Tamandua tetradactyla: one gene and its partners. The protein of the gene in region 2 binds, or shares a complex with, the protein of the main gene of each other region. Links are inferred from orthologs where the notes say so. Each region holds a gene or a part of one and is shown on either strand. Other genes may lie near its edges. The genes, in order: DPM3, DPM2, PIGP and PIGH.

Region 1 (5,312 bases), on a different chromosome or scaffold from region 2:
GTACCATTGGCTCATGTCCACAGCAACAGAACTAGGTGCCTTCACCTGGCCAAGTTGACAACTGTATCTAACTACCACAATCCCCAAAGTCCAAACTTTTTTTTCTCTGTTATTAAAAAATTTTTTATTAATAAAACCAATCAACATACAATATGAACATTCTTTTTTTACCACATAGTTGTATATTCATCATCATGATCATTTCTTAGAACATTTGCATCAATTCAGAAAAAGAAATAAAAAGAAAACAGAAAAAAATTCATACATACCATACCCCTGACCCCTCCCTTCATTGATCACTAGCATTTCAACCTACTAAATTTATTTTAACATTTGTTCCCCTATTATTTATTTATTTTTAATCCATGTTTTACTCATCTGCCCATAATGTAGATAAAAGGAGCATCAGAAACAAGTTTTTCACAATCACACAGTCACACTGCGAAAGCTATTATCATTGTACAATCATCTTCAAGAAACATGGCTACTGGAACACAGTTCTACATTTTCAGGCAGTTCCCTCCAGTCCCTCAGTTATGCCTTAACTAAAAAGGTGATATCTATTTAATGCATAAGAATAACCTCGAGGATAACCTCTCAACTCTGGTTGGAATCTCTCAGCCATTGACACTTTGTCTCATTTCTCTCTTACCCCTTTTGGTGGAGAAGGTTTTCTCAATCCCTTGATGCTGAATCTCAGCTCATTCTAGGATTTCTGTCCCATGTTGCCAGGAAGGTCCAGATCCCTGGGAGTCATGTCCCACGTAGTCAAAGCGGTGAGTTTGCTTGTCGTGTTGGCTGAGAGAGAGAGGCCACATCTGAGCAACAAAAGAGGTTCTCTTGGGGGTGACTCTTAGACCTAATTTTAAGTAGACTTAGCTTATCCTTTGCGGGGTTAAGTTCATATGAACAAACCCCAAGATTGGGGGCTCAGTTTATTGCCCCCAAAGCCCAAACTTTCAACCTACAAGCCCCACTGCCTTCCACAGCCTGGTGTAACCAGGACGTACTGCATCCTGACATGCAGCAGAAGAGTGATGGTCTTCGGAGAGGTTGAGAAGGGAGGAATTGCACCATAAGAACCTGCCGGCTTTTGTTCAGTGCTGTCCCAGGCCACGGCTGGGTGCTACTGAAGTAGTTATATTTCCCAGGAACAAGGAGAGCAGGGTCACTTTCCTTCGAGGCCATCACATGGTGACCTATCCTTCTTCCCTCCTCCCTCCCTCCTACATTTTTAGGTGGTCTGCTGGGTTTCCCACTGTTTTTGGTCCTAAAGACATAACGGTCCTTGGCAGGACAAGCAGGGAATCAAAAAACCTAAAGCTCAATATGGTAAAAAAGAGGTCGGTGAGAGCACAGGGGAAGGACATGGTGACTATTCCTGCAAGGCAGGGCCGAGACCCGGGGAGGCTGCTTGGAGCACGTAGTGCTTGAACCGAAGATTAGAAACATATGTAAGCGCCTTTTCTTGTAGCACCTTTAGCGTCTCACTTTTCACATTAAAATTTTTAATGCGCTGGGAATTTATTTTGATAGAAGGTATGAAGCGGAAATCTAAGTAAATTTCCTTTTTCAAATTCTAAGTGATTTTTTTAAAAACAATTCCATCTTCCTTCACTGACTCGAGATGAGTATCACGGTGTATTTAAATTGGAGGGAGAAGAGGAGTATATTAGGAAGGTCAGGAATATAGGGAATGAATGCTCATCTTCCGTGGCAGACAGTCAACTGATTATATCTAAAATGGAAAATAAAAAACAAATAATAATAAGGATATGAGCGTGCTATTTAGAAATGTAGAGGTAGAGGTAAAACAGAAGAAGCAGCCAAGAAACTTGAGTAGTTGTCTCTGAGGAGTGTATTTAAGGGTGGAAAAAGTGGGACAGAGGACTGTTATTTTTCAATACAAACCTTGTAGAACTATTAGAACTATTTGACTTTTTAAAAAACTATGAATGTCTTGTTAAAGTAAAAATTAAGACAAAATGAAAAACATTTTTAAAAATCTGCTATAAAAAACATTCAAACTCGCACTCCCATCAGCCCAAATATCCCACCAATGGCTCGGTCAATGCCTCACTGGCCACAGTGACTTTCAGATACGGGCACAGTTTCAGATCCAGAAATTCTATTTTATTCACTCAGAGTACACCTGGCCATGGAACACTGACTGCTGCTCCCCAGAAATTTTTTTTTGGAGAAAGACAATGAGAAGGAGCTTGCCCCACCACACAAAAACAAGGAACTATAAAATTATAATAATAATCAGCAGAAGAAATACTCATCGAATGGTTATTGTGTGTCGTACCCTACATGACACTGTCATGTTGAATTTTCACAACATGCTAAGGTAGGTACTTTTATATCTCCATTTATGGATGAGGAAACTGAGACACAGGGAGGATAAAAGGTAAGTAATTTGCCCAATATTTATCATCTGCAAATAGTAAGTAGCAGAACTTTTGCATCCACCCGAAGCCCCATGTTCTTAGCAATCTTGGTCCACCGAGTTACTGGAGCAGGAATGGGCAGGTAAGGATCACTGCAAGAGCTGACGTTCATTACCATGTGCCAGGCGCTGTGGTGAGGGCTTCGTCTCATTCAATCTTCATAGCAACTCCATGAGGTAGGTGCTATTATTATCCCCATTATACAACTGAGGAGAATGAGAAAGAAATCAGACAATTGGACTCCAGAGCCTGCCTGCTTTACCACAAAACTATAGCACCTCCCTCTCTAGATCAGTGGAACAGAACAGAAAGTGAAAAAATAGGCTAAGCATATATGCAAATTTAGCATACGATAGAATGCATCATATATGTATTGTATCACATATGAATGTGAAAATATTCTTTGTAGTTGAGCCATGTAATGTTTGTACTAAGACTTTGGACCTGTAAAAACTGCTTTTGTTTATTAACAAGGACACAGGGCTGAGAAACCCCATTCTCTAAAATCATGGTCACGAACTTTGCTATTTGAAATCATATCAGGGAGAATGGAACATCCCACTCCAGCCTGGAGATCTAAGCCATGTGGGTTCTTTTGACAGAGAAAGCCTGGATTTCCAACCCAGATGCCGAGCTTCAGATAATGGGTTTTTGGATGCAACATTCCACATTTTAAAAATTTTATAGTTTCCAAGTGGATCCCGAGTCCACTTTTCAGCCCGGGCTTGTTGATCTCTTTACGTACAGTCACGTTTACGTTTGAACTTATCAAAATACTGCTTCATTTCAATTTTACCTAAACACGATCCTTTCACTTATCCCGTATTGAGCATGTTTCTTCCTCTGATGAGTTGCCCCACAATTCCTCTCTGGTGTGTGCGTCCCCTTGCATCAGCAAGGTAATAAAGATACTTCTGTCCAACTACAGGTGTGTTCCTGTGATCTTTATCAGACAGGCTTTATCAATTCTCTTTCATTTCTTTGACAACTGTTTACCCTGAAGTTGACACTGCCTGACATTTTCTTTTACTTTTTAAAAAATATATACCTATCATGAATTCATCCGAAAACTTTCTTAAAAGAAGCATACCCTTTCCCTCAACACCTTTTAACATATCCCTCCACCCCTTATTTTCCCCCCTTAGCTGCCCATTCCTGTGACAGTAATACGGAAGCGTGACAACTTTCCAGCTCCAAACTACTGGTAGCTCCCCCGTGCTTCTCTCTCTCTCTTTTTTTTTAACATGGGCAGGCACCAGGAACCGGACCCAGGTCTCTGGCATGACAGGTGAGAACTCTGTCACTGAGCCACCGTTGCCCCCGTGCTTCTCTTTTAAAATAGGGCAGGCTCTGTTTTAATATATCTCAAGGCATCATGGTTAGTAGTCAATGCCTCTGCTTCCCTGATTCTTCTTTTCCCCTCCTCTCCGGGAGCAGCTGAGTCTCTCGATACAACTCTGTGTCCCCAAAGTCTGTCATGGCATTTAAGAAAAGTTCGAGAGAATGAATGAATGACTAGGTACGTGAATAAATAAATAAGTTGGATTCCTGTGCAGGAGAACGGATCTGTGGGGAATATTACATGCCCACCTTGTAAGGCAAGCCCGATGGCATTTGCCAAGACCGCAGTCTGGAGTGGGGCCCGAGCGAGGGAAGCAGCCCTCGAAACCCGTTGACCCATCCCACGGTGCGCAGAGCAAAGGTCTCCAAAGGCCGCTTGGTTGTGGGGGGAAGATCTGGACCTCGCGTCCTCTTGGCACCACCAGGAAGACTACAATTCCCAGAAGGCCGCGTAGAGGCGGAGCATGCGCTGTAGGGCACTTCCGAGTGTTGACGTCAGAGCGGCGTGGGGAAGGGGAGACGCCGGGCAAAGAGGTAAATGTAGGTTGAGGGTTGTATTAAGAAGGGAGGGTGAGAGCGACGGAGGGGCGGAGATCAGGACAGGTGATCTGGAGGGGATGAAGTAGGACAGGTGGAAGGAACCCCAGCTTTGCTTTTCTCTTGCCACAGGGATCATGACGAAGCTAGCGCAGTGGCTGTGGGGACTGGCGCTCCTGGGCTCCACCTGGGCGGCCCTGACCATGGGAGTCCTGGGCCTGGAGCTGCCCTCGCCCTGCCGAGAGGTCCTGTGGCCGCTGCCCGCCTACTTGCTGGTGTCTGCCGGCTGCTATGCCCTGGGCACCGTGGGCTATCGCGTGGCCACGTTTCACGACTGCGAGGACGCTGCCCGCGAGCTGCAGAGCCAGATCCAGGAGGCCCGGGCTGACCTGGCCCGCAAGGGGCTGCGCTTTTGATACCTACCCCCATCCTTGCCCGGGCAGCCCTATTAAAGAGCAAGCTTATTTTCTACTTCGTTTAGTTTGACTATGGAGAATGGGAATTCGGGATTCGTATATACCAGCGGTAGGGAGGGGAGGGGTGGGGAGAACCAGTTTCCCGAGGCCATCACTGCCTTTGTATCCTGCTGATTTCCTTTTTTTGGATCAAATGAGCCAAAGACCTCTCTTCTCAAGATGGTTTGGGATGATAATGTCATTCTACTTTCTTGGTCCTTAAGCCTGTCAGAAAGTACTTCTTAAAGCCTAAACTCTCTTCTTCATAAAATCCGCCGTGGGTTCTTTTAAAGGCTTTCCAACTTCTTGGTTCTTTCAGATACCTTTCCTGAGCCAACCCTACTAGTCCTACAATAACTGGATCAGACAGCACACTCCTACCCAGCAGAGTAACCATCCAGTCACCACCCTTCCCTAGAGCAGGCAGTTTGAGATTCATGGAATGGAGATTTGGTGGTGATAGGAAGGGGTGGGTATCAGTTTATTTTAAGGCACATTCTAAAGATAATAGCCCCAACCTCCAAAATTA
Region 2 (6,897 bases):
TGGGGGGCAGACTACCCCCAGAATCCTGCCACCTTGACCCTCTGACTGCTTAGTGCTTCAGCTGTCCCTCCCCTCTATCCTGGGGGATCCACTGGTGGCCTCCTCCTGGGAGCCAACACCTCAGACTCCACCCATGCTCTGGATTGAGACCTGACCCCACTCCCACCCCCTTGCAAACGAATGTTCTCCTGCTGCCCTGGCAGCCTGCACTTTGCACATGCTTGTCTCAGCACAGCTCCCACTGGCCCATTGTCTCCCCTTCCCAAGGATTCCTGAGCTCTGCCTGCTGTGCAGTCAGAGTCTCAGGGTCTAGAAGCCCGGCTGGAACGTGGCACTGCCTCTCTACCCTCCAATTAGCTCCAGCTCAGGCCTAGGACCTATGCTGAGAAAGGTCTGAGCATTGATGTGGTTTTCCTTTGCCCAGGGCAGGGTCCTGAGCAACTAACTTTTTCATGCAGGAGTGTCATGGAAGTGCCTCCCATGGTCTTGGAGATTGGGGGCCTAGCTAGGCTGGACTTGGCAAGCAAAGCCCTCTTTTCCTCCTTAGGGTCAGCTGACCCAGGCTGGAGAGGTGGGTAGGCTGTGACTAGGCCGGCCTGGAGCTGGGTTCCTGGCCGGAAAAGTACCTCAGCCCTCTAAAAGCACCCCCCATTTCTGGGCAAGGAAGAGGTGGAGTCCTTTAAGGGATGTATTCTTCCTCTGGGGAGCAGTCTGGTCCTGCCCTCCAACCCTCACTAAAGCCTCTGCTCTTAGCACTTTTCCTTCCCTAGTCCTCCTTACTTGCTTAAAGGTGGGGTCTGATTGCCAGCCAGCCCCTGGACAAACTCCACCTGCCCTTTTAAATTTCAGTCATTTTGTATAAACCCAGCAGGCTGGTGTTCAGTTAGACCTTCATGTATCTTCTCTTTCTTTTTTTTTTGGAGTCCACAGTTCAATCTTTTCTCCTCTCCCAGGTGAGGGGAGGTGGTTCTGTTCTCTACCCTACCTGCTGGCTGGTCCCAGCAGGGCTGGGGCTCTAGACAGAAGAGTGAAGATGCTGGGGCTCTCTGGCAAGTGAGGAGGTGTCCTCCCCAGGTCAGGAGGCTTCCTTGCCCAGTTTTCTGTCTGCCCCAGCTGGTAAGATATGGGGTTATTGGTCCTGGAACCTCACTGGTGTTAGGACCAGAGCATTTCTAGTAATTTTTTTTTTTTAAATCACCTACTTTTTTAAAAAAAGTGAATGTTAGAAGGTGCCTGCCATGGCAGGATGGAGTGTTTGCTCTGGTTAGGGAAGGTTCTGGTCAGCTCCAAGGATCCCTTCCTGCCCCACAAACATCTGGCACTTTGGAGGGAAACTGGCAGCACTGTCTCCAAATTGGATGACTCCCAGAAGATGGGGGAGCATTGTCCTTCTGTGTCAGCATGACCTCAGCTCAGTGAGGAGGGGCATTCAGGGTGTATTTTGGTTTTGGTTCAAGGGTCTGGGGCTTTAGGCACAAAACTGCTGGCTTTAGCACTGTTGGGGATACTCCCCCAAACCAGAACCCCAGCCCCATCAAAGTAGAGGTCTGAGCTTGAGTCACCCTAGAAGGAGACAGAGCCTGCCATACTCTTACACACGGCCCTTGGCAGGAGAATTTGATCAACTGAGAATTCGGCCAAAACCAAATGAATACTGGCTGGACCCAGAGGCCTGGACACCAGCCTCTTCTCCATGTGGGAACCCCTTCTTGGGCCTTCTGGCCCCCTCGAGCTCAGTGAATCCCTACCAGGCACCCACAGCTCTGGGTTTCAAATTCTATATATAGAGATAGAGAGAATATATTAGAGATATTTTTGGAAAGGAATCAGTCTATGCAATGCCAGTTTGGAATCTTCTTGAAAGACAGCTTAATGTTTTTATTAGGAGATTTAAAGAAAATAAAGGTCTACAGTATTTTTAGGGTTTTCCTTTGGTCACCCTACAAAATGACCATGTGGCATGTTCCACCAGGATGGAGAATGTCCACGTTTTCCTCTATTTAGGGAGATGAGGGAGGGGCATCATTTGTCCTTTTTTTTTTTTTTTTTAAACTTCCCCTCCTTTCTAACAGAATGCTGCCACCACTGCCCCCCAGATTCAGCGGGCTGTTTGTATCTGTCTCCAGCTTCTATTGTAGAAAATAACATTGTATGGGGAAATCAGTCTAGTGTCTTGGTTTGGGAAAAAAAATTAAATGTGGTTTTTGTTTTGGTATGGCATGTTGTTTTTTCCTTGTCACTTCACATTGGGGTTGGGGGTCACACAAAGACCACATGGGAAAGGAGCCAGAGTGAATGAGATGACTTTCCTGAGTGTAGGGAGGGTGCATGCCAGTGTTTTCTTCCAAGTTCTGGCTGCAGTCTTAACTATAACCACCTTTTCTACGCTGGATTCCTGGTGAGGAAACTGAGGCCCAAAAGGGCAGTTACTTGCCAGTCTTGGTACATACCTATTAAGTGGCAGGGCCTGTATTTGAACTTGTCTCTGACCTCAGAGGACTTAACCTCAGAACCAAAGTTCTAATCACTGCTCTGCAGCCTTCCCCAGTGGTCAGGTGAGCCTCAGGGCAATTAACTGTATCTTACACCTCAGTTTTTTCTATTGCAAAATGGAATTTGGGAACAAATGAGAAAGTGGATATACAGGCTGCCCTACAGAAGATGCTGAGCATATTCCCAAGCCCGGGTTGTCTCCAGGCTTGGCCTGGGCCCTTCATTATTCCCTGCCCCTTGCACAGCATCCAGGTAGGCTAGCCAAAATGGGAAAGGCAGATTGCCCTGGGACCATATTTAGAGCTCAGAAGTAGACAGAAGCCTCAGTGGCTTTGAATGGGACAAAAGGAACCTGGTTAGGAGACTAAGTTTGCCCCAGCCCAGCATTTAGCCCCTTTCGCAGAGCTGACCCCTATTCATGGCCCCCTTAAACTCTAGAGTCTAGTTTTCAGTCCCTTCCTCTGTGCTAGGCCCACATGGAATTGGAAAACTTGGCCCCATAGCTGAGCCCAAAGTCAATCCTACAGGAGGTGCTGAGCATGTTCCCAAGCCAGGGTTGTCTCCCGACTTGGCCTGGGCCCCTCACTTGCTGCCCCGGACTATCCTAAGTCACACAGCAGCTGGATGGCCTAGCCAGACTCATGAAACCTGATGGGTGAGGAGCAGCCAATCCTGTGACCGTGGGGAGGTAGCATTCCAGACCCTAGAACTGGAGGAGACAACAAAGATGATGTGGGCCAACGTCTTGTTTTCAGCAGAAAAGGTCTCCAAAGATAGGAAAAGGGTCTTGTCATGGGGCCGGTGTGAAGATTTGTCTGGGCCACTGTCACAGTGAAGGGACGGGGTGGCAGCAGGCTCTCCTGGACACATCCCCTGCGGTGAAGAGGGGACACCTAAAGGGTGGACAGCTAAGTAGGGCCTAACCCTCCGCCGGTGCTCTCTGCCCAACGAAATCTTCCCCCATCCCCGGAGGCTCGAGCCAGCCCCTCCTCCTCCAGTCTCTGTATCCCTCCCCCCAATAAAGACCAGGACCAGGAAGTAGGATCCTCTGTTTCTGGTGTCAGTTTCATCGCTGACACGGATTGTGAGCACCGGCAAATCTTTGTCCCTCTCTTCGCCTCACTTTCTCCATCTGAAAAATGGGACTGCCACTCCATCTAGTTCCGGTTTGGGATGCTGAAATATTTAGGGATGGATTTGGTTTCTGGGTTGGGTCCACAAGACTAAGGCCACAAGGACCAAGCAGTCTGGGTTTCCAACTCGATCCTATTCCCTAGAGGGATTCAGGGAACAACCTGCCCCACATTCCTTGAGAAACTACAATTCCCGACATGCAAAATTGATGCGACGGCCTATTGATCTCGAGCGACTTGTTCCGGGATCGGTCTGGGAACTACTACTCCCGGCGTGCCCCGCGTCTCAGAGCAAGAAGGACCCGGATCCAGAACCGGAAGTGGCTTTCTACTCTCGCGGCGGAGCGGCGGGGAAATGGTGAGGTTATGACTAGGTCTTCGAGGAGATGGGGCGCGTTGGGGCGGGGTCCGGAGTCCGTTCTGGGGCTTGGTCTTCAGCGCTCGAAACTGGGATTGCGCTCCCGCGGGCACATTATCCGGATGCAAACGCCGAGGACAGTACCCCCCTCTCAGCCTAGAAACCAATACCTAGTTAACACTCTATAGATCTCTTGAATGAATGGGAAGCTTAGAGTATAAGACATCCGCGCTGCATTAATTCACCTACATGGAGAATCACTTCTTCAACTGAACCCTCCCTTTTCTCCAGGCCACGGGAACAGACCAGGTGGTGGGACTTGGCCTCGTCGCTGTTAGTCTGGTCATCTTCACCTACTACACCATCTGGGTGATTCTCTTGGTACGTCTCCCTTGTCCTCTCCTGAACCTTTCCACATCCTTGGATCCCGAAACCGACTGCTAACACCGTTTAAGCACCTATTGTGTGTCAGTCACAGGCTAAGTGCTTTACCTGCCTTATCTCATTAAATCTCCAGAACCGTACCAGGAGGAAGATACTAGTGGTGTCCCAATTTTAAAGTTGAGAAGGCTGAGGCTCAGGGGAAAAGTCTGGCCCAAGGTCTCATGCTTAACCGCTACACTGTAAAGCCCTGTTCCTGAGTTCCTTTGCCTTTGATGGGATTTCCAGTTCTGGCTATTCTCCTTGCCCCTGGGTATGGCGAGTGCCCATGGATGTTGTGAGGGCCTTTAGGACTTTTTTTTCTTATGGGAAATGTGTTGGTTATTGCTTAAGAAGTGCAGTGTGTTTGGAAGGCAAAACCTTGAAGAACTTGTTATCCTTTGAAGAAAAATATTAGTCAAGAAGACCTTGGACCCCAGATTGGGAATCACTGGAGAATTCCTTATTTTATCCCTTACCTCTGCTAAGCCCTAGGGCAGGTTCCTTGTCTTCTGTTCACTGCCAAGTCCCCAGCACCAACCCAGAGCAGACACCAAGCCAGTGCCCAGTAAATAACCATTAAATAAATGAAAGAAGGAAACAAACCAAGAAATCCAAAATGCTGTAATCTTAAAAGCAAATGTCATCATAGTGCCCTGACTGGGGTCAGCCTCTGATGGAAGAGGCTGGAACATTTGGTCTGGGAAGCTGAGTGAACCTAGGCAAGGCAATTAATGCTCACTAGAGCTCTTCCCCCGATACCAGCCATTCATCGACAGCCAGCATGTCATCCACAAGTATTTCCTACCCCGAGCCTATGCTGTCGCCATCCCACTGGCCGCAGGCCTCCTGCTGCTCCTGTTTGTTGGTAAGTCATCACTCCCTCAGTCCTGGGCAGGACGATCTGCAGGGTCCCCATGACCCTCTCCCACCCTTGAACATGCTTCAGCATTTTGGCATACGCTGTAGATCTGCTTAAGGATCCTTACCCCAACTCTTCCCATGGGGTTTTCCTACTCATCCTTCAAGGCTGAAGGTCATTAACCCATCTGCTCTTTCTGATGCCGTGAGCTCATGTTCTCTCATGGGAGATCTCCCTTTTTCCTGCCCCCCACCTCCCCCACCACCATCACTCTTTTTTATTTTTTAAATAAGCTTTTTATTTTGAAATAATTTCAATTTACAGAACAATTGCAAAAATAATCCAAAACCCATACAGAGTGCTCTAGCATACCCCCCATCCAGATACCCATCTTCATTAACTTTCAGCCTTTTACCACATTTGCCTAATCATTCAACCTGTCTATCTGTCCTTCCGTCCATCTGTCTATCCATTCATCCATCCAAGAATTGTGTCTTAACCATTACTGTGTCCCCGACACCTTACACAGGGTTTGGCACTAAATTGGTGCTCAAGAAAGTGGTTTGGATGATTCCACAGTCAGATGACTGGATGATCCTAGATGGGTGGGTGAGTGGGCAGGTAGGTGATTAAGTTTTGAGTGTGGGCAGATGGGCGAGTGGGTACATAGGTGGGTGAGTAGGTGGATAGAAGGATGGATTTTATTTCCCATGGAATCCCAAACACCAAATATAGTGTCCTGCATGTGGTGGACACTCAGTTGGTGTTTGCTTAATTAACGTGAGTGAATACGTAGCTTGATGAATGACAGGAAGATGACAAAGTTGCCTGGAGTGTGGCGGGGTAGGCACATGTCCCGGGGTGGGGGTGACTTTGTCCTGCCCTGCCAGCATCCCTGAGCCCAGACTTATCCTGCATCTCTGGTCTCTAATATCCAGGAATGTTCATCACCTACGTGATGCTGAAGAATCAGAAGGTATCCAAGAAGGCCCAGTGAAGGCCCAAGGGGGAGGAGGCTGCCTGCCCCTTCTCTGCCTCCCCTTCATGGCAGGGACAAAAGATGGGAGCCAGCAGGACCGGTCAAGACACTGAAGCCTCTCAAGCCTGGCTGCCCTGAAGACATCCCATGGGATGGAGCAGTTCACAGCTCACTGTTGACCGCAGCCCCACTCCTCCCCTCCTTACCCTTCCAGAAGCCAGGAGTGGGGGTACCTGGAAATCTCCTTCTCACTCTCTTCTGGCCCAGGACCAGAAAGATGCTGGTACTTCCCGCCTCACCTACAGCCTCTCTGTCACTTTATTCTTCTAGGTTCTACTCTCTTGCCTCAGTTTCTCTCCTTTTATATGTTGGACTTAGCAGATTCTAAGGCAACATGCTGTGTCTCCCCATTATACTCACCTCTCCATGGAGGCAGATTTCCCAAGTCTGACACAGCCCCAGACCCTACTAGGACTTCTAGGCCTGGAAAGCCTAGGGGAAGGACTGATCTCCTGGATCACCGCCGTTAGAGTGATGGTGCATTTGGGTAGCCACACTGGACCCCCAGGCTGACCGCTTCTCTTCTTCTCTTCCCTGCCCCCTGCCCACTGATCTGGCCTGTTTGGAGAGTTTAACAATAAATATTAGTCAT
Region 3 (7,676 bases), on a different chromosome or scaffold from region 2:
GCATAAAGCACAAAGTAGTGAGTGTTGAGGTACAAAGTGGAAAAGCCGGCGAGTCCCAAATCATGAAAGGTCTTGGACAATGGGCTTTCTTTTCTAGGTAATGGGAGAAATTGAGGGTTTTTTTTCTTCCCTACTTTATAACACAGAAAAGTAAGAGAAAAATAACCACCATGCTCCAACCAAAAAGCAGGGGGACTCCATATGTGCATTCTGAGTGGGTCACACTGGGAGCTGTGTGGAGGATGTATTGGTTGGTGATAAGATTAGAGGTAGTTAAGAAGCCCATTCCACTAGATTCAGTGAGTAACAGAAAAAAGAGTTTGGGGGAGAAGGAAAAGGACAAGCGAAGACCACCACTGAGGTTTTCAGATTGGGTGACTAGTAATTTCAACACCAACAAAATTATTATTGCCCCATATTCTATCATTTCCCTTTATTTCCTTTAAAGTTATCATAATCCATAATCATCTTGTTTTTAGGTCAGTAAATATTTCAAGGTATAGAGAAATCCTGCAACCCTCCTGCACCCACCGTTAGTTTTTTCGTAACTACCTGGTCCCGGCCTTCAACCTTCTCTTTCTACTACTTTCCACCTCACTTTCTCAGGCTTCGCCCTTCCTGGCCTCCTGCTGCTCCTTGAGCACACAGGCATGCTTCTTCCCCATGCTTCTCCACTGGCTGATCTCTTTCTGGGATGCTCTTTTCCCAGACAGCCCCATGATTAACTCCCTCTCTTATTTCGGTGCGCAAACCTAGTCTCTCAATGAGGCACTTCCTATCCTATTCAAAACTGCAACCTCCTCTCATTCCTATTTTGCTTAATTTCCTCTCACAGTATATGTCATCATCTCACACTGAGTACATTTTACTTGTTTAATCTGTTCATCACTACTATGAAAACTGAGGCCAGGAACTTTTGTCCGGTTTGTACTTGCCTGACTTAAAACAATGCTTGTCATACAATAAGCACTCATAGCCATTAGCTGAATTAATTTTTGGTTATGTTGTGGACTTTACTTGATTTAAGTCTTAAGGTCAGTACTTTTACTTATTGGTATGTTCCTAATCCTTCAAATACTTTATAGATCAGGGATTTACAAAAATGAAGACAATGATAAAATAACAGCAACACCTAATATTGATCAAGGACTTATTGTATCCTATCATTGTGTTAAATTACCCTAACTAGTTCTCACAACAGCATTTAGAGGCAGCAGAATGTTTAAGAGGTTTAGGAGTACAGACTCTGAAGACAGTGTACCCGGTTCCAAATCCCAGTTCTATCTTTACTGGGATGCTGGGCAAGTTACTTAAACCTTCCTAGGTGCCCCAGTATTCTCATCTGTAAAATGAGGACAATAGCAAGAGTATCTAATTTACACGATTATGTGAATTAGCACTCACTAATTACAGATGTGGAACCTGAAGGCTCAAAGAGGTTAAGCAAATGGCAATTACACAGATACTTCCTGGGGTTAGGAGAATGCAGACTACTTTAGCTAACAGCTCAGCTGTTCGGCCCATCTCCAAGCTATATTGATGGTGCAGGTAGAATTCTTCACTTCCTCACCTCCCTGGATTTTAGGAAGGTGGATTGGGACACCTGATTTTCTCCTTCTAGTTTCCCTCATTATTTGCAAATCCTTTTGGGGAGAGATTTGGGACCTGCTGTGTGACTCCAATCATTTTCAGTTTCTCAATGAGCATCCATCTCCTTGCCTGTAAAGTGCTTTAGAAGAACTAACTGATTTCCAGGATATAAAGAGTACACCTTTCAAACTGACTTCTCTAGCCTAATTCCATCACTCCCCAGCTCTGGCAGGCAACCTTGGAGCCATACGAAAATACTTCCATTCCTGTCATGCCTTCATTCAAGGCCTTCCCACCTCGTCCTTCACTCTCCCTTATTCTCTCATCAGTCTAAGTGTCAGGGATAATGTCCCCGGGAGAAAGACAACTCTAACTCACAGTCCCTCCACTGGGCTCTCTCTGCACTGATCTCACTAAATGCTAACTGCAGATTTACTCCTGTGTGTTCTGACCACAGGACTGTGACCTTACGAGCAGGGACCAGGTTGTATTCACTTTGCTATCACATCAGATGCTGTAGAATCATTTGCTGAGATTAAAGCTGAACAGACAGAAGCTCCCTTACTTTTCTTTAAATAAAACACTGGTAGAAAGAATCAAAAGTTGACGTGTGCACATTCTAAGAACTGGAACATTTCCTTATTCTGGAACACCAGGGAGGGCTCCTTGCCACCCATCAGGAAAATACTTACTGAAGCCAAACTGGGAGCTTAAAAAAAGAACAAAGCCATAAATCGCTCTTTCTGGCAACGGCGAAGGTGAATTTTCTACCATTTTCCCTGTGGCTTCAGATAATCTGTGAAAAAGAAACACAGTAATTCGTCAGTGATTTATCCCCCTTCGCCACTGGTCTACTATAACCTCATCTCTTGGCTTCGGGCACGGCCTCTGCGGGTTTTTATTTCTGCCTAAACCACTGCAAACTGCGCAACAAGCCCCCCGCCCCCTTCCGCCCACGTGCACGCGCGCAACAAGCATCCACGATGAGCGCGCACCACCTGCCGCGGAGCGGGGAGGGTGGGAGCTGGAAAGGACGAACGCTGCTCGCCTTCCCACGGGAAAGGGCTCAAAGGGCAGGGAAGGGCAGAGACCCGGACCCGCGCACCATATCCAGGACACGGACCCAGCCCTCCCCGGGGGGCTTCTGTTTCTTATTCGAGGGCCCGTTCAAGGGCTGCGGTGGGGAGGCCTCGGCTTTGGGCCCTTCACGCACCCTTCCCGCCAACACGGCCACCTCAGCGCTGGGTCCTCGGCGCAGGCGCCGACCAGGGAACTGCAAGAAAGGAATAGTAGAGCGGACTGCGAAGGTGCAAAGGCACCCCCGCCCAGCGCAGGCGCAGGACGACACTCCTCCGAGCTGGCTGGAGGCAGACGCGGGGGCGGGCGGGATCCCGTAGCTTGCCGCCGCGGGAGAAGACGGTACGGCGTGACTGCGCATGTGCGCTGCCGCCCACGTGACTAGCGCGCCGCCCGCCCCCTCCCGCGTCTGGTTGACGTGGAGAGCCCGCGGCTGCGGCGGCTGCGGCTGCGGCGGCGGCGGCCCGCGTCCGAAGCTCGCGGGCTGTGGGCCCGGGTGAGTGCACTCCTTTCCGGGCGGCGGGGCCCCTGGCGCATCACCCTTTCCCGCTGCAGCTGAGATGCCCGGGGAGAGCGGGCCGTGGGTCGCACGCCTCTGCGTGGGCGTGTGATGAATGTGGGTGTGTGCTCGCCCCTCGCCATCGTCCCAGCTGTGTGTCTGCGTTGGTTGGGGTGTCCGGGCACTGAAGGGGTGTGGACGTCTTTGGCCCAGTGGGTGTGTCGCTTTTGTCCGAGGCCCCCCTTCTTGCAAGCCTGAGCCCCTTTGGGTGTCCGTGAGAAGGTGGCAGGGGTCCCTTTGTGTGTGGCTCCCCCTGTGTTGGTGCGCGCCTCGCCTCCGTCCGTGGGGGGGGGACACTGCTAGTCCAGCGAGGGCCCCCCCCAGCCTGCGCGCGTTCCGTGTGTGTCCCCCCGCTGTACCCGCGCCCGCCCTCCCCACCTCTGTGGGGGTCCCCATTGTGTCTTTACTCCTGCTTGTTGGGTGCGCGCCCCCTGTGCCCGGGGCCGCGCCTCCTTCAGGTGAGATTCCCCCCGCCCGGAGCTTCGCCCGCGAGTGGGTGTCCGAGAGCGCCCCCGGGAGCGCTCCGCGCTCGTGCCCATCTGTCCTGTCGAGCGTGTGACCTCTCGTGCGCGGTTTTTGTTGGTGAACGTTTGGGCGCGCCGCGTTCGCTGTGTGTGTGTGTGTGTCTGTATGTGTGTGTGTGTTATCTACGTCTCTGCCACCTGTTTTCGGGAGAGCTGGCAGTTGAGCCCAAGGCTTGCCCCCTCCCCAAGGAATGGATCTGAATGGGAGGGAAGTATCCCCCGCGCTCTTCCCTGCTCTGGGTCTCCGGGGCATCTTCCCTCTCCCAAAGGCTAAGGCGAAGGGGCAGGGCAGTAGCGGGTCGGGTCAGCTGCTTCTGGTGTTGACGACTGGATGGCCTGAAAGCCAGCCTGTTCCGACAGAATAGGGGGACCGAGGCGTAGGTGAATTTGGACTGGTAGTCCTAGACTCCCGAAGTCCTCCAAACTCCTTCCAAAATACGTTCTAGCGACCCGGGACGTTCTTGATAATATGTAGTGGTTTAAATAATGTGTTATGGTTTTCACGTGGCTTATGCCCAACATCCTGGTGAGGGAAACAAGGTAGAAATACACGTTATACTCCTCTTCCTTTGGGTGCAGTTTCCTCTTAAGTATGACCGTAGAGCACTTTTATTAATTGCAGGAAATTTTCATCTTATCTTAAGGAAGATAGGGTTTATTTATAAGGCTAAACGGAAACTTCAAACCTATCAGGAACCCAGCTACTCTTAAGGGTTGCGTTTTGTTGTCTCTCTCTGCTTAATTTTTCTTTTTAATTTCTGGAATATTCCACACGTAAAGTACAGGGGGGAGATTTAACCATTCTGTGATTAAGATTTGGCAAGATGTTAACATTTACCAAATTTACCGCAGTTATTTTTAAAAGAGATATAATGTTGCAAATCTTGGAGATGTTCACCCTTTCCCCCCCTCCTTTCCTAGGGGTAGCCACTGTGGTGTGTGTATGGCATTCCCTTCCACATTTTGTACTTTGATCAATTACAGTGAGTCAAAAAACAATAGTGTTGGGCAGTGCAACGGTGGCTCAGTGGCAGAGTTCTTACCTGCCATGCCAGAGTCCTGGGTTCGGTTCCTGGTTCCTGCCTGTGAAAAAAAAGAAAAAAAAAAAACAATAGTGTTGTCTGTTTTTAAACTTTACTAATGGTAGTAAATAGTGTCTTGCAACTTGTTTTTTTCACTTAGCATCCCATTTTGAGATTTATATATGAATAAATTGGAACACTGTTACCTTGGATTCATTCATTTTAATTGATGGTATGAATTTCCTTTGTATATACCATAATATATACCTTTCTATATTGATGGATTTTGAAGTTGTTTCCAGTTTTTTACTTAAAACAATTCTGCCATAAACATGTTTGTGCCAGTGTGCTTCTGCACACATTTGAAAGTTTCTTTTGGAAATGCATCTAAAAGTAGATTTGTTGGATAGTAGGATATGTGCCTCTTCAGCCTAACTGACGTCACAGAAGTTCTCCGAGTGGTTGTACCAGTTTTCACTCTCAGTAGTGTTAAATGACAACACCTGTTTCCTCATATCATTATGGAATCCTACTTCTGCATCTTTGCCTTCTCTTTACAGACCAGCATCCTTAAAGCTTTAGCTTTTTGCTAAAGTTGACTGCAGCACATTGTGTTTTGCCGAGCCCTGTACATAAGTTCAGACTCATCTCACAGCTGACTGGCTGAGTCTTTATCTCATTTGGTCTTCATAAGATTAATTCCAATAAATATTTATTATGTACCTAATGTGTGTTGGTTCTTATGGCTGATGTATAGATAATATCCGTGGTATGTGTCCCTACTATCTAGTGACAGATGGGATGATTTAATTAAAATAGTTTTTTTCATAATGATGAATGGTTTCTTTTACTCTTCTTTTCCTCTTTATTTTCATATAGTATTTGGTACACACGAATATATGTAACATATATGTAAGTTATGAAGCTAAGAAGTAAAATGAACAACCATGACTCCACTACTCAGCCCAAGAATCAAATTTGCCAATATTGCATGTCCTCACTTCATAGGTGACTGTGTTCCTGAATTTTGTTCTTTCCTTTTTAAAAATAATCTCATCAGATGTCTATACACCTCTCAACAGTGTATTGTATGGTTTCTATTGTTTTTGAATTTAAAAAGGGGGGGCGGGATCATACTGGATATAGTTTTCTGGAATTTCTTTCATTCAGCATTATGTTTTTAAGGGTCACTGGTGCAATTGTGTACAGATGTAAGTCACTAATTTTCATTGCTGTGTAAAATTCCATGTGTGTTAATATGGCATAGTTTATGCATTCTGTGAATAAACATTTTGTTTGTTTCCAAGTTTTTGTTGTTAGGAAGGTTCCTGTCATATATTCTGTTACAGTTTGAGAAATTTCTATTTTCAGATTGGAGGCTATATTCCCTGCTGGGGTGGGGGATAAAGACGTTCTAAGGAGTACTTGGGCAGAGATGGTGTAATAATCAATTTTTAGATCCTTAAATTCCATATGTATTCTTTCCTAAAATTGGTAATGCCTGAGGCTTGCGATACAGGCCTCCTGCTGGTTGTCCTTTCTCACCTTCCCTTTCATGGTAGCTCTACCACTTTCTAAAAGATTCATCCAATATATCAGTTTATTTTTAAATGTCTCCATGATACTCTGGAAATCCATCTTTTACAATTATTTAAACTTATGCTGCAATTTTTAGATGTCAATGCATGAAAGACTGTAGTTTTTAAAAGCTTTTTTGGGAATATGTTAGCAACAAAAATATTGGAATATCACTTTGATAATCTGTATGCTAGGAGTGGAATTGCTAGCTCATGGGGTATGAGAACGTTCAGCATTACAAAATGATGTCACATTGTTTTCCCAGGTGCTTGTACTAGTTTACTTACTTTGGACACCAGTTTCAGCAATTTATTTAAATTGATTGGCACTATGTAAGTGAAAGATGATACGCTTCCTCTACATGTGATATTGTCAGATGTTTTAGTATTTGCCAATCTAATGGCCATGAATGCTATGTCATTGTGGTTTTAATTTGCATTTCTTTGATTATTAATGAGTTTGGAATCTTTTCATATGTTTATGGACCATCCCTGTTTCCTTTTTTATGAAATACCTGGTCGTATCTTTTACCCAATTTTCTGTTGTGTTGTTTTTTAAAATAAATGCACTGGTAACACTGAATATTTATTGATGATATGCATTGTAAATATCTTCATCCAGGTTGTAGCCTGATTTATACTCTTTATTGTATATTTTGGCAAACAAAAGTTCTTAATTTTATTGTAATCTAATTGACTGGCCTTTTTTATGGTTAGCTCCTTTTGTGTCTTGTTTAAGGAAACCTTCCTTCCTCTGGGATCACATGGCATTCACTTGTGTGTTTTTGGTTGTTTGTTTTAAAGTGTTGCTTTTCATATTAAGCTTATAATCTATCTGGAATTAATTTTTTATGCATGGTGTAAGGTAGTGAGCCACATTCTTTTTTTTTTTTTAATCCTGTGTAGCTACAGTTGTCTCTATTATGTACTGCATTGGCTTTCAGTTGGTGCAGTGATCCACCGTAACACCTTTTTTTTTTTTTTCATATTTAGTTTCTGTAGCATACTTCTGTTTTTGGCTCAGCTTTCTCTATTTGTCAGTTTGTCTAGCAGTATGGTGATATCACCCTGCCTTAGTTATTTTAAAAATATTTTTATTGGCACATCTTCACACGCAGACATTCCATACGTGGTGTACAATCAGTGGCTTACAGTATCATCACATAGTTGTGTATTCATCACCATGATCATTTTTTAGAACATTTGTATCACTCTTGAAAAAGAAAAAAGTTACATCCCATACCCCTTAACCTCTTGTAGACTCCGCCTTAGTTATTAATGCTATAGCTTTCCAAGATATTTTGATATCCAGTGGTGACTTGAGTCT
Region 4 (7,737 bases), on a different chromosome or scaffold from region 2:
TAATTCTTCCAGAATCTTCCCCTTATCCATTTAAAAAGCCATTCCAACATGTTTGGTATTTGCAAATCACAACATCCCACCTCTCTGGTACCAAAATCACTTTTAGTTTGTTGATGCTACCTGAAATGCAATACACCAGAAATGTATTGGCTTTTATAAAGGGAATTTACTCAGTAACAAATTTATAGTTCTAAGGCCATAAAGATTTCTAAACTAAGGCATCCAGAAAAATATACATTGACTCAAAAGAGGCCAATCTTGGAAAACACATGGCTGACATCTGCTGATCCTTTGGCCTCTGGTTGCAAACAGCTTCCCTGGGGGCATTTTCTTACTCCATCTCCAAAGATCTTGGTCTGTGTCAACTCTGAAGCTTTTTTCAAAATGGTTCCTTCTTAAAGGACTCCAGTAAGCAACCCAACTTGAATGGGTGGAGACACATCTCCATGGAAACCAGTTAACCAAAATGTCCTACCCACAGTTGGGTGGGTCATGAATCCATGAAAACAACTTAATCAAAAAGTCCCACCAGCAATACTAAATCAGGATTAAAGAACATGGCTTTCCCAGGGTACACAACAATTTCAAACCAGCACACAAATAATAAGTGCAAACTATTCTATCTGACTGACATCAAGCTAGGATTTTTTTTTTTTTTTTACATTTTCTAAAGAGTTGTAAACAAAAACAAGAAATAAAGAATATGCAGCAAAGACAACATGGGGCCCCCTGCCTAGGCCTTTAAAACAAAAGTCTGCTGACTCCTGTGCTAGATAATTGCTTGTTACCTAATGAACGGAGGATTTGTTGCTGTTCTCCAATGACTAAGAAATACCTACTTTGAGTTAATTACCCTCCTGGTATCTAGTAGTATCTTGTACATACTCTGAACTGAATAAGATTATGGAACAATAGAAATAAAATCCACTCCTGGCCCTTATAGATTAAGTAGAGGCAAGGCTACTACACACAAAATATTTTAGAAAATACCATGATACTGACTATAAATGCCAAAAGAAGGTGTAAAAGAGAGAGATTAAAATGCACTGAAATATCCCATGAACACTTCCAAGGGAGCCCAATTTAACTGGCTTAGAGGAGGTAGTGGTGGGTAATGACAGATATACTTAGTTGGAAAGGAAGGGGAAAGAACATTACAGGTTGCAATAAATTGGAAGGGAAGAAGGAATGGAAGAACAGTAAAGGTTAGGAGATTTGATCCAGGCTTTCTAATAAAGTAATCCCTGCACAAAACTTCATTGCTACCTGCATTTTTTCCTACATCCTATTATTTTTCTGTCTATAATCCCAACAATTCAATATTCATTTGGGCTGGGGTTAAGCTACTATAAGTCGTTTTGAACAAATTCCTGCAATCAGATTTTTTCTCACTCCTAATGCCTACCAAGATTTATTACTCTGAGGAAAAGTTTTCAATAGGAGGAAAGATAAGAAATTTCGGTACACAGAGCCCTTATGAAGTGTTGGCAGTAGAGTGTAAAAGAAGTGAGGCCACTGAGTCCTAGGCAGGCAGTTGATGGGGCAAAAAATGTGATACAACAGAATGAGAGAAAAGAGTATAAAAGAGAGCTGGCATAAAAACAACTTTCTCCTATTTTAAAAATGTGTCTAAGATCACTCTTTCCCATGGAGGGGGCAACATAATATATTGGAATAAAAAAAAAGAGTCTGAGTCTGACACCCCTGGGTTTGAATCCCAGGTCTGCCACTTTCTAGATTTATGACCTTAGTTATTATTCTTTCTGAGCCTTGGTTTTCTTCTAAGGTTGAAGTCTGACATTCAGTAAAGCACTTGGCATTCAATGGGCATTATATCTGTTCCCCTTTCACCACATAGCTAGAACTCAAGCTAGCAAATTAACTATATCATAAATTAAATCTTTTTTTTTTTTTTTTTTTTTGCGGACTGTCCTGGCAATTCATTCATTTGTAGCATCATTTCAGCTGACATGAACAAACTTTTAGATAAAACTTGATACAACTCAGGGCAGTTGTAATTCTGCACATATCTATGCTAAAATTATCATGCTCTGAAATGTGCTTTAATGGCAACAAAAGCTAACGGACGCAGTAATGGGGACAACATTTATATTACAGAAGTAAATAGTCTTGCTGTTCTTAGCTCTGATCAAATGACTCCCAGAATAACATATTCAATGCAGGGTACTACCTGGAAAACCAGAACTCAACCTGAGAAGAGCAATTTGGATCATTTCTTTGAATGCTGTAACAGTTTATTGTATTTGACCCCAGCATGACAGACATTAATTACATTTTAGAGATGTGAAAACAGGCTAAGAGAAAATAGGAATACACACACATACACCGAGAAGCAGAAACAGTTTCTGGAAGACTATACAAGGTTTTGTTAACTCTAAGGACTGGAAGTGATGGATGAGAACGATCCGCTTAAGTTTTCTGAACACTTGGAATTAAATTTCTATGAGCATTACGACACACAGTACATGGAAGTTCAAGTTTTAGGCTGTCGTGCCAAGACTAGATGTATGCTGGATAGAGCCACAGAGCAGAGGAGAAACCCATAAGAGGCAGAATGTACCCGAGCAAACTTCACTAAACGAAATGAAAAGAGCTGTCCAGCAATGCAGTGGCGCCCCCAGAAACCAATGAGTTCCCGCCCATCGTCCCTACTACAGTAGTTGGGGTACGATGAGAGGCCGCGGCTCGCCCACCAGACCAAAGGCCTTCGAAACCTGAGCACCCGACTCCGAGGGCCCGGATGGGCTGACCGGCCATTACCTCGCAGAGGGTGAAGAGGCCGTAGGCCGCCAGCCACACGCTGCAGGTGACAGCGGTGAGCGAACGCAGCGAAAGCCGAGGGCAGCTGAGGCAGAACTCCCGGCAGGAAGGGGAGTAGTAGCGGAGTTGCAGGGCCAGGCGGCCGCCGCAGATATCCGAGAAACTCCGCTCGTCCTCCATGGCCATCGCAAGTCGACTCCCGACACACTTCGGGAGAGCGCCGTCAGCCACGCCCCAAGACACGTTCCGCGCAGCCGCAGTTCCGCGCGATGCGCTGTGGCGGTATCTCTTCTACAAAATCGTGTGGGGTCGGCATCTCTGCGGCAGATTGGGAGTGCTGACATCAAACTTACTTTTGCCCGAGAAGTCGTTCTATCTCTAAGCCAGAGTGCACCCCAAGGAGACAGTCCACAAATATTCATTCCATTGATTCATTCAGCACATATTTAATGAGCACCTGTTGCGTGCCTGTGAGTTCTAGGTGAGGAAGATACAGTGATGAACAACATTGACAGCTATTCCTTCCTCAAGTAGCTTCCTTCTTAGTGAGAGGAAACAATATGGAAATAATTTCAGAGAGTGCCATTGCCAATAATGTGATGGAACGTACGGGTGGGCTCGGGAATTTAAATAGGGCAGTCAAGGAACGTCCCTGTGAAATAGAGGGCATAGGAGCTAAAACAGCGAGTCAGGTTCGGGTCTGGACCCGCAAGAGCGAATTCACCAAGGCTGGGAACAACGTTGGCTTACTGAAGACTGTAAAGGCCGGAGAAGCTGATGGGTGGGGAAAACAGTTGAAATTTAAAGAATTAAGTAGGGGTGAGATCTAGAGGATCTTGTAGGCCCTCGTTAAGGAGTTTGGGTTTCACTGCTTAGGATTTCTCTTCCAAACCCCAGAATGGAGACATTCACAAATCCTGGCTGAGGTAGGCAGCCGGGGCGGGGGGGGGGGGGGGGGGGGGGGGGACGCAGAGGGCGTGGATAATAAAATTTCTAAACTCTTAAGTAATAAAATCCTCTGGGTTCTCTCCTCTAACCGATATTACGCAACAGCAGGGCTTTGTGGCCCGTAAAACCGTTATGATAATTCAGCCCTGAGACAGCATCATGGATAATGAATTGATCCCCTTGTGCATGAAGATAAACGGTATAAAGTTCTCACCAGCTTTAAGTCTTTCTAATGCAAAACAGACTCATCCTCATCCAGGGTTTTGTTTCCTCCTTTTTTTTCTTAATGATTTTCTTCAAAGATCGCTTTGTTTTTCCAGCTTTATTTCTATGCCCTGAATCTTCTTTTTCTAAGTCATTCTGATAAAACTTTATTTCAAAATTAATTTTTAAACATTTTTATATTGTGAAATATAACGTATGTACAAAAAAAAGCAATAAATTTCAAAGTGCATTTTAACAAGAAGTTATAGAACAGAGGCTAAGCCATTCGATTTTTATCCGTCCTGCCAGTACTCCAGACCCTTTTGGAGCCTTGAGAAACTTTAAAGAGAGAAACTCCTTCCAGTTCCAATCCAGACAACTGATGTGAGCGGATCATCAAGGAGTAAGAACAGACTGGAAATTTAGTTCAGCGGTCTGAGTCCCCTAGACCAAGGCTGGAAGGCCAGAGTCTCCCTTCCAGAATGATCCCCCTTGGTCTGACCTCAACACCTTTCTGGTATTTGGGTACCATTCTGTACCTGAGTACAGACCTGAGTTTGTCTGTTGATTAAACTCCTGGAAAATAAATAATCCAACAGTTAACTGGTGTTTGTGAAATTGAGTAGGCCTGTTTAACTGCCAGTTGGTGTGTTACCTAGGTATTGTAAGTGTTTAATGTTTAATTGTTAATTGGTGTGTTAAGCATTTAATGCCTGTTAATTCTTGTGTCTAGTCTAGTTATTAATTGGTGTGTTACTTAAATATAGTTAAGTGTTAAGTGTTTGTTTATTGGTTTATCCTGCATTTGTATTTTTTACTAATTACTAATTGGTTACTGATTGCAGAAAGTCTTCAAAATGAGAAATTCTAAATCCAATAGCATTCCTTTGGACAGTATTTTGAAATATTGGAAAGATTTTAGTTATAAGCCTATGAAAAAAAGCAAAAGCAAAAATAGTTTACTTCTGTAACACAGTCTGGCCTCAATATGATTTAGAATCAGGAAAGAAATGACCTGAGAATGGCTCTATAGAAAAGCATACTGTATTAGAGTTGTTTTGCAGAAGAGAGCAGAAATGGGATGAGATGATGTATGTTCAATCCTTTATTTGTTCTCTCCCAGCAATCAATGTTGATAGGAAAATGTAGAATTTTACCTATAGAGGATAGCTAAGAAAAGAAAAATGTCCTCCCTGATTCAAATCTGGTGGATCTAATAGAACCTTTATTAACTCCTTCATCTGCCCCACCTCCACCCTATAGCTAAGGGTACTAATGGATCAGAAAGGGAGGAAGCTCCCCTACTTCCTCCTCTGTATCCCCCTTTATCAGAGGTAAAAGAGCCTGAGACGGGAATGGTCTCCCCTTCCCATACCCATCAGCTTACTCAATTTGGCCTTCTATAGAAGGCCTGAAGAAAATGGAAAGCTTAATTGCTTTGATATTTGCAACGGATTTGTTAAATGCCCTGATAACAGAGGAACAGAGAATGGTAATAGAAAAGACAAAGTAGAAAGGAGATAAGAAACAGGGAGAAAATCCTGACAACCCAATGTATGCTGGAGTAAGTTTAGCAGCATCAACCAGTGACCCTGAGTGGAATTCGAATGATGCTGGTGACTGGGCTAAACTTTATAAAGAGTGCATTGTTGAGGGCCTACAAAAAGGGGGTCCCTCAGGCTATAAACTTACAAAAGATAACCAAAGTAAGGCAGGGGGGCCAAAGGAAAGTTCCTCAGCTTTCCTTGAAGGAATTTATACTACTTGGCAGTACATGGATATAGATCTAGAAAGTCCAGAGAATGCCAGAAATTTAAATATGACTTTTATTACTCAGAGTTTTCTGAAATAAGGAGAAAGCTACAGAAAATTGATGGAGGACTGGGATTGCCTATCTCTAGGTTGGTTGAAATCACTTTTGAAGTTTATAACAACAGGGACTAAGTTGTTTTTGTTTTGTTTTTTAAATATTTTTATTGACACATCATTGCGCCCATACAGTCCATACATGGTGTAAAATCAATGGCTCACAATATCATCACATAGTTGTATATTCATCACCATGATCATTTTTAGGATGTCTAGGGTATGGACAGATGAGTAAAAAAATATGGATAAAAAATAAATAAATAATAGGGGGATAAGGGGTAAAATGAATTGGGTAGATTGACATACTAGTGGTCAATGAGAGGCAGGGGCAATGGGTATATATAAGTTTTTTCTTTTTTCTTTTTCTGGAGTGAGGCAAATAACCATTTTTACAGCTGCTAGACTACCTAATTGGGACCAAAAATTTAAAGCATAGTTTCCTGTATGTACCAGAATGTCTGGTTCCCTTGCTAGGAAGGGACCTGTTGACCAAGCAAAATTCCTAGATACCCTTTTCTCCAGTTTACTTGTCAACAGACATGCCTCCAGGACAAGCTTTTGCATTGCAAGCTTCCCTGCTGCTCAATGAAGGAGATAAGCAGACATGTCTATCTCAGAAGAAATTTTGAATGCTGAGGCATGGGCTGATGGAAAACTGGATGTGCAAAGACAGTAAGACATCCAAGTAAAACTTCAAAAGCCAAGTACAGGATGCACACGTAGTTCAGTGGTTAGAATGTCCACCTTCCATGCAGGAGACCTGGGTTCAATTCCTGGACCATGCACCCAGGGAAAAAAAAATAAAAGGCCAAGTACTGTATACACCATATTAAACAATATGGTTTAAAAAACTTAAACTAGAATCCAGAGAAGGAATTACTCCATTAAGAGAGACCGTCTTGAAATATCAATTAATATGACCCTGTCAATCTCCGTATAACACTCCAATATTGCCAGTACAAAAGCCAGGCACCCTAAATGAATACCAGTTTGCACAAGATCTCTGGGCCATTAATCAAATTGTAGAAGATATCCATCTGGTAGTTCCAAATCCATATACTTTACTATATTATCTGGAGATCTCTGTTGGTTCACTGTCTTAGATTTTAAAGATGCCTTTTGCTGTATACCCTTTGACCCATGATCTTAAGAACTGTGTGCCTTTAAATGGGAAGACCCCATTGCTAACATAAAACAACAATATCGTTGGCCTGTTCTTCCACGAGGATTTAAAAACACACCTACAATATTTGGAGAAGCATTAGCCAGAGTTTTAAGAGATTTACACTTACAAGAAGGAGTACTATTATAGTATGTAGACGATATCCTGACAGCAAATTGGCATCAGATGAGAACAACATTGAAATTCTGAATTTCTTGGCAGAGCTAGGGTACAAAGTCTCTAAGAAAAAGGCCTACATTTCGCAAGAGTCAGTAAAATATTTAGATTTTGAGTTACCCAAGGGACAGAGAAATTTACTGCCAGACTGCAGAGACGTTTTAGCCCAAGTGGTAGAGCCACTTACAAAAAGGTAGCTTTGAGGATTCTTAGGGCTGGCAGGATTCCGGAGAATTTGGATACCTGATTTTGCTATGAGTGCAAAATCAGCCTTATATAAAGTCTTGATAGGATTTAGAGCAAGAGCCTCTAAATTAGACTACTGAATGTGAAGCAGTGATTCTGCCTAAAGAAGTTGCCATAATGTATTGCTATAGTCATCGGAAAGCAGAAATGGATGCTATAAAAAGTAATCAAATAGCAGATCAAGAAGCAAGGGCAGACTAAAACCTCCATCGCCAACATTAGTACTTTCTCCAATAACAGACATAAATCTAAAAAACATTTCTTTGCAGTATTCAACCCAGGGACTTGTTAAGAACAAAAAAATGGAGCTTTGGCTTAAAAGAAACAGATGTTAATTCTTAATCAAACAT

The links.
Region 1: DPM2 (region 2) and DPM3 share a complex: the UniProt entries of both Homo sapiens proteins name them as parts of the dolichol-phosphate mannose (DPM) synthase complex. The link is inferred for Tamandua tetradactyla from reciprocal best matches to the Homo sapiens genes DPM2 and DPM3.
Region 3: DPM2 (region 2) and PIGP share a complex: the UniProt entries of both Homo sapiens proteins name them as parts of the glycosylphosphatidylinositol-N-acetylglucosaminyltransferase (GPI-GnT) complex. The link is inferred for Tamandua tetradactyla from reciprocal best matches to the Homo sapiens genes DPM2 and PIGP.
Region 4: DPM2 (region 2) and PIGH share a complex: the UniProt entries of both Homo sapiens proteins name them as parts of the glycosylphosphatidylinositol-N-acetylglucosaminyltransferase (GPI-GnT) complex. The link is inferred for Tamandua tetradactyla from reciprocal best matches to the Homo sapiens genes DPM2 and PIGH.

What each region holds. Positions count from the first base shown.
Region 1 is NC_135330.1:8,128,565-8,133,876, reverse strand, and holds DPM3 (dolichol-phosphate mannosyltransferase subunit 3), read left to right. Parts: upstream 1-4,270; 5' UTR 4,271-4,325; intron 4,326-4,460; 5' UTR 4,461-4,465; coding exon 4,466-4,744; 3' UTR 4,745-4,799; downstream 4,800-5,312. UniProt on the Homo sapiens protein: Stabilizer subunit of the dolichol-phosphate mannose (DPM) synthase complex; tethers catalytic subunit DPM1 to the endoplasmic reticulum.
Region 2 is NC_135328.1:50,786,725-50,793,621, reverse strand, and holds the start of DPM2 (dolichol phosphate-mannose biosynthesis regulatory protein), read left to right. Parts: upstream 1-3,887; 5' UTR 3,888-3,981; coding exon 3,982-3,984; intron 3,985-4,275; coding exon 4,276-4,365; intron 4,366-5,169; coding exon 5,170-5,272; intron 5,273-6,204; coding exon 6,205-6,263; 3' UTR 6,264-6,897. UniProt on the Homo sapiens protein: Regulates the biosynthesis of dolichol phosphate-mannose. Regulatory subunit of the dolichol-phosphate mannose (DPM) synthase complex; essential for the ER localization and stable expression of DPM1.
Region 3 is NC_135336.1:104,908,941-104,916,616, reverse strand, and holds the start of PIGP (phosphatidylinositol N-acetylglucosaminyltransferase subunit P), read right to left. Parts: upstream 3,011-7,676; 5' UTR 2,804-3,010; intron 2,387-2,803; 5' UTR 2,365-2,386; coding exon 2,283-2,364; intron 1-2,282. UniProt on the Homo sapiens protein: Part of the glycosylphosphatidylinositol-N-acetylglucosaminyltransferase (GPI-GnT) complex that catalyzes the transfer of N-acetylglucosamine from UDP-N-acetylglucosamine to phosphatidylinositol and participates in the first step of GPI biosynthesis.
Region 4 is NC_135338.1:25,154,828-25,162,564, forward strand, and holds the start of PIGH (phosphatidylinositol N-acetylglucosaminyltransferase subunit H), read right to left. Parts: upstream 3,005-7,737; 5' UTR 2,968-3,004; coding exon 2,782-2,967; intron 1-2,781. UniProt on the Homo sapiens protein: Part of the glycosylphosphatidylinositol-N-acetylglucosaminyltransferase (GPI-GnT) complex that catalyzes the transfer of N-acetylglucosamine from UDP-N-acetylglucosamine to phosphatidylinositol and participates in the first step of GPI biosynthesis.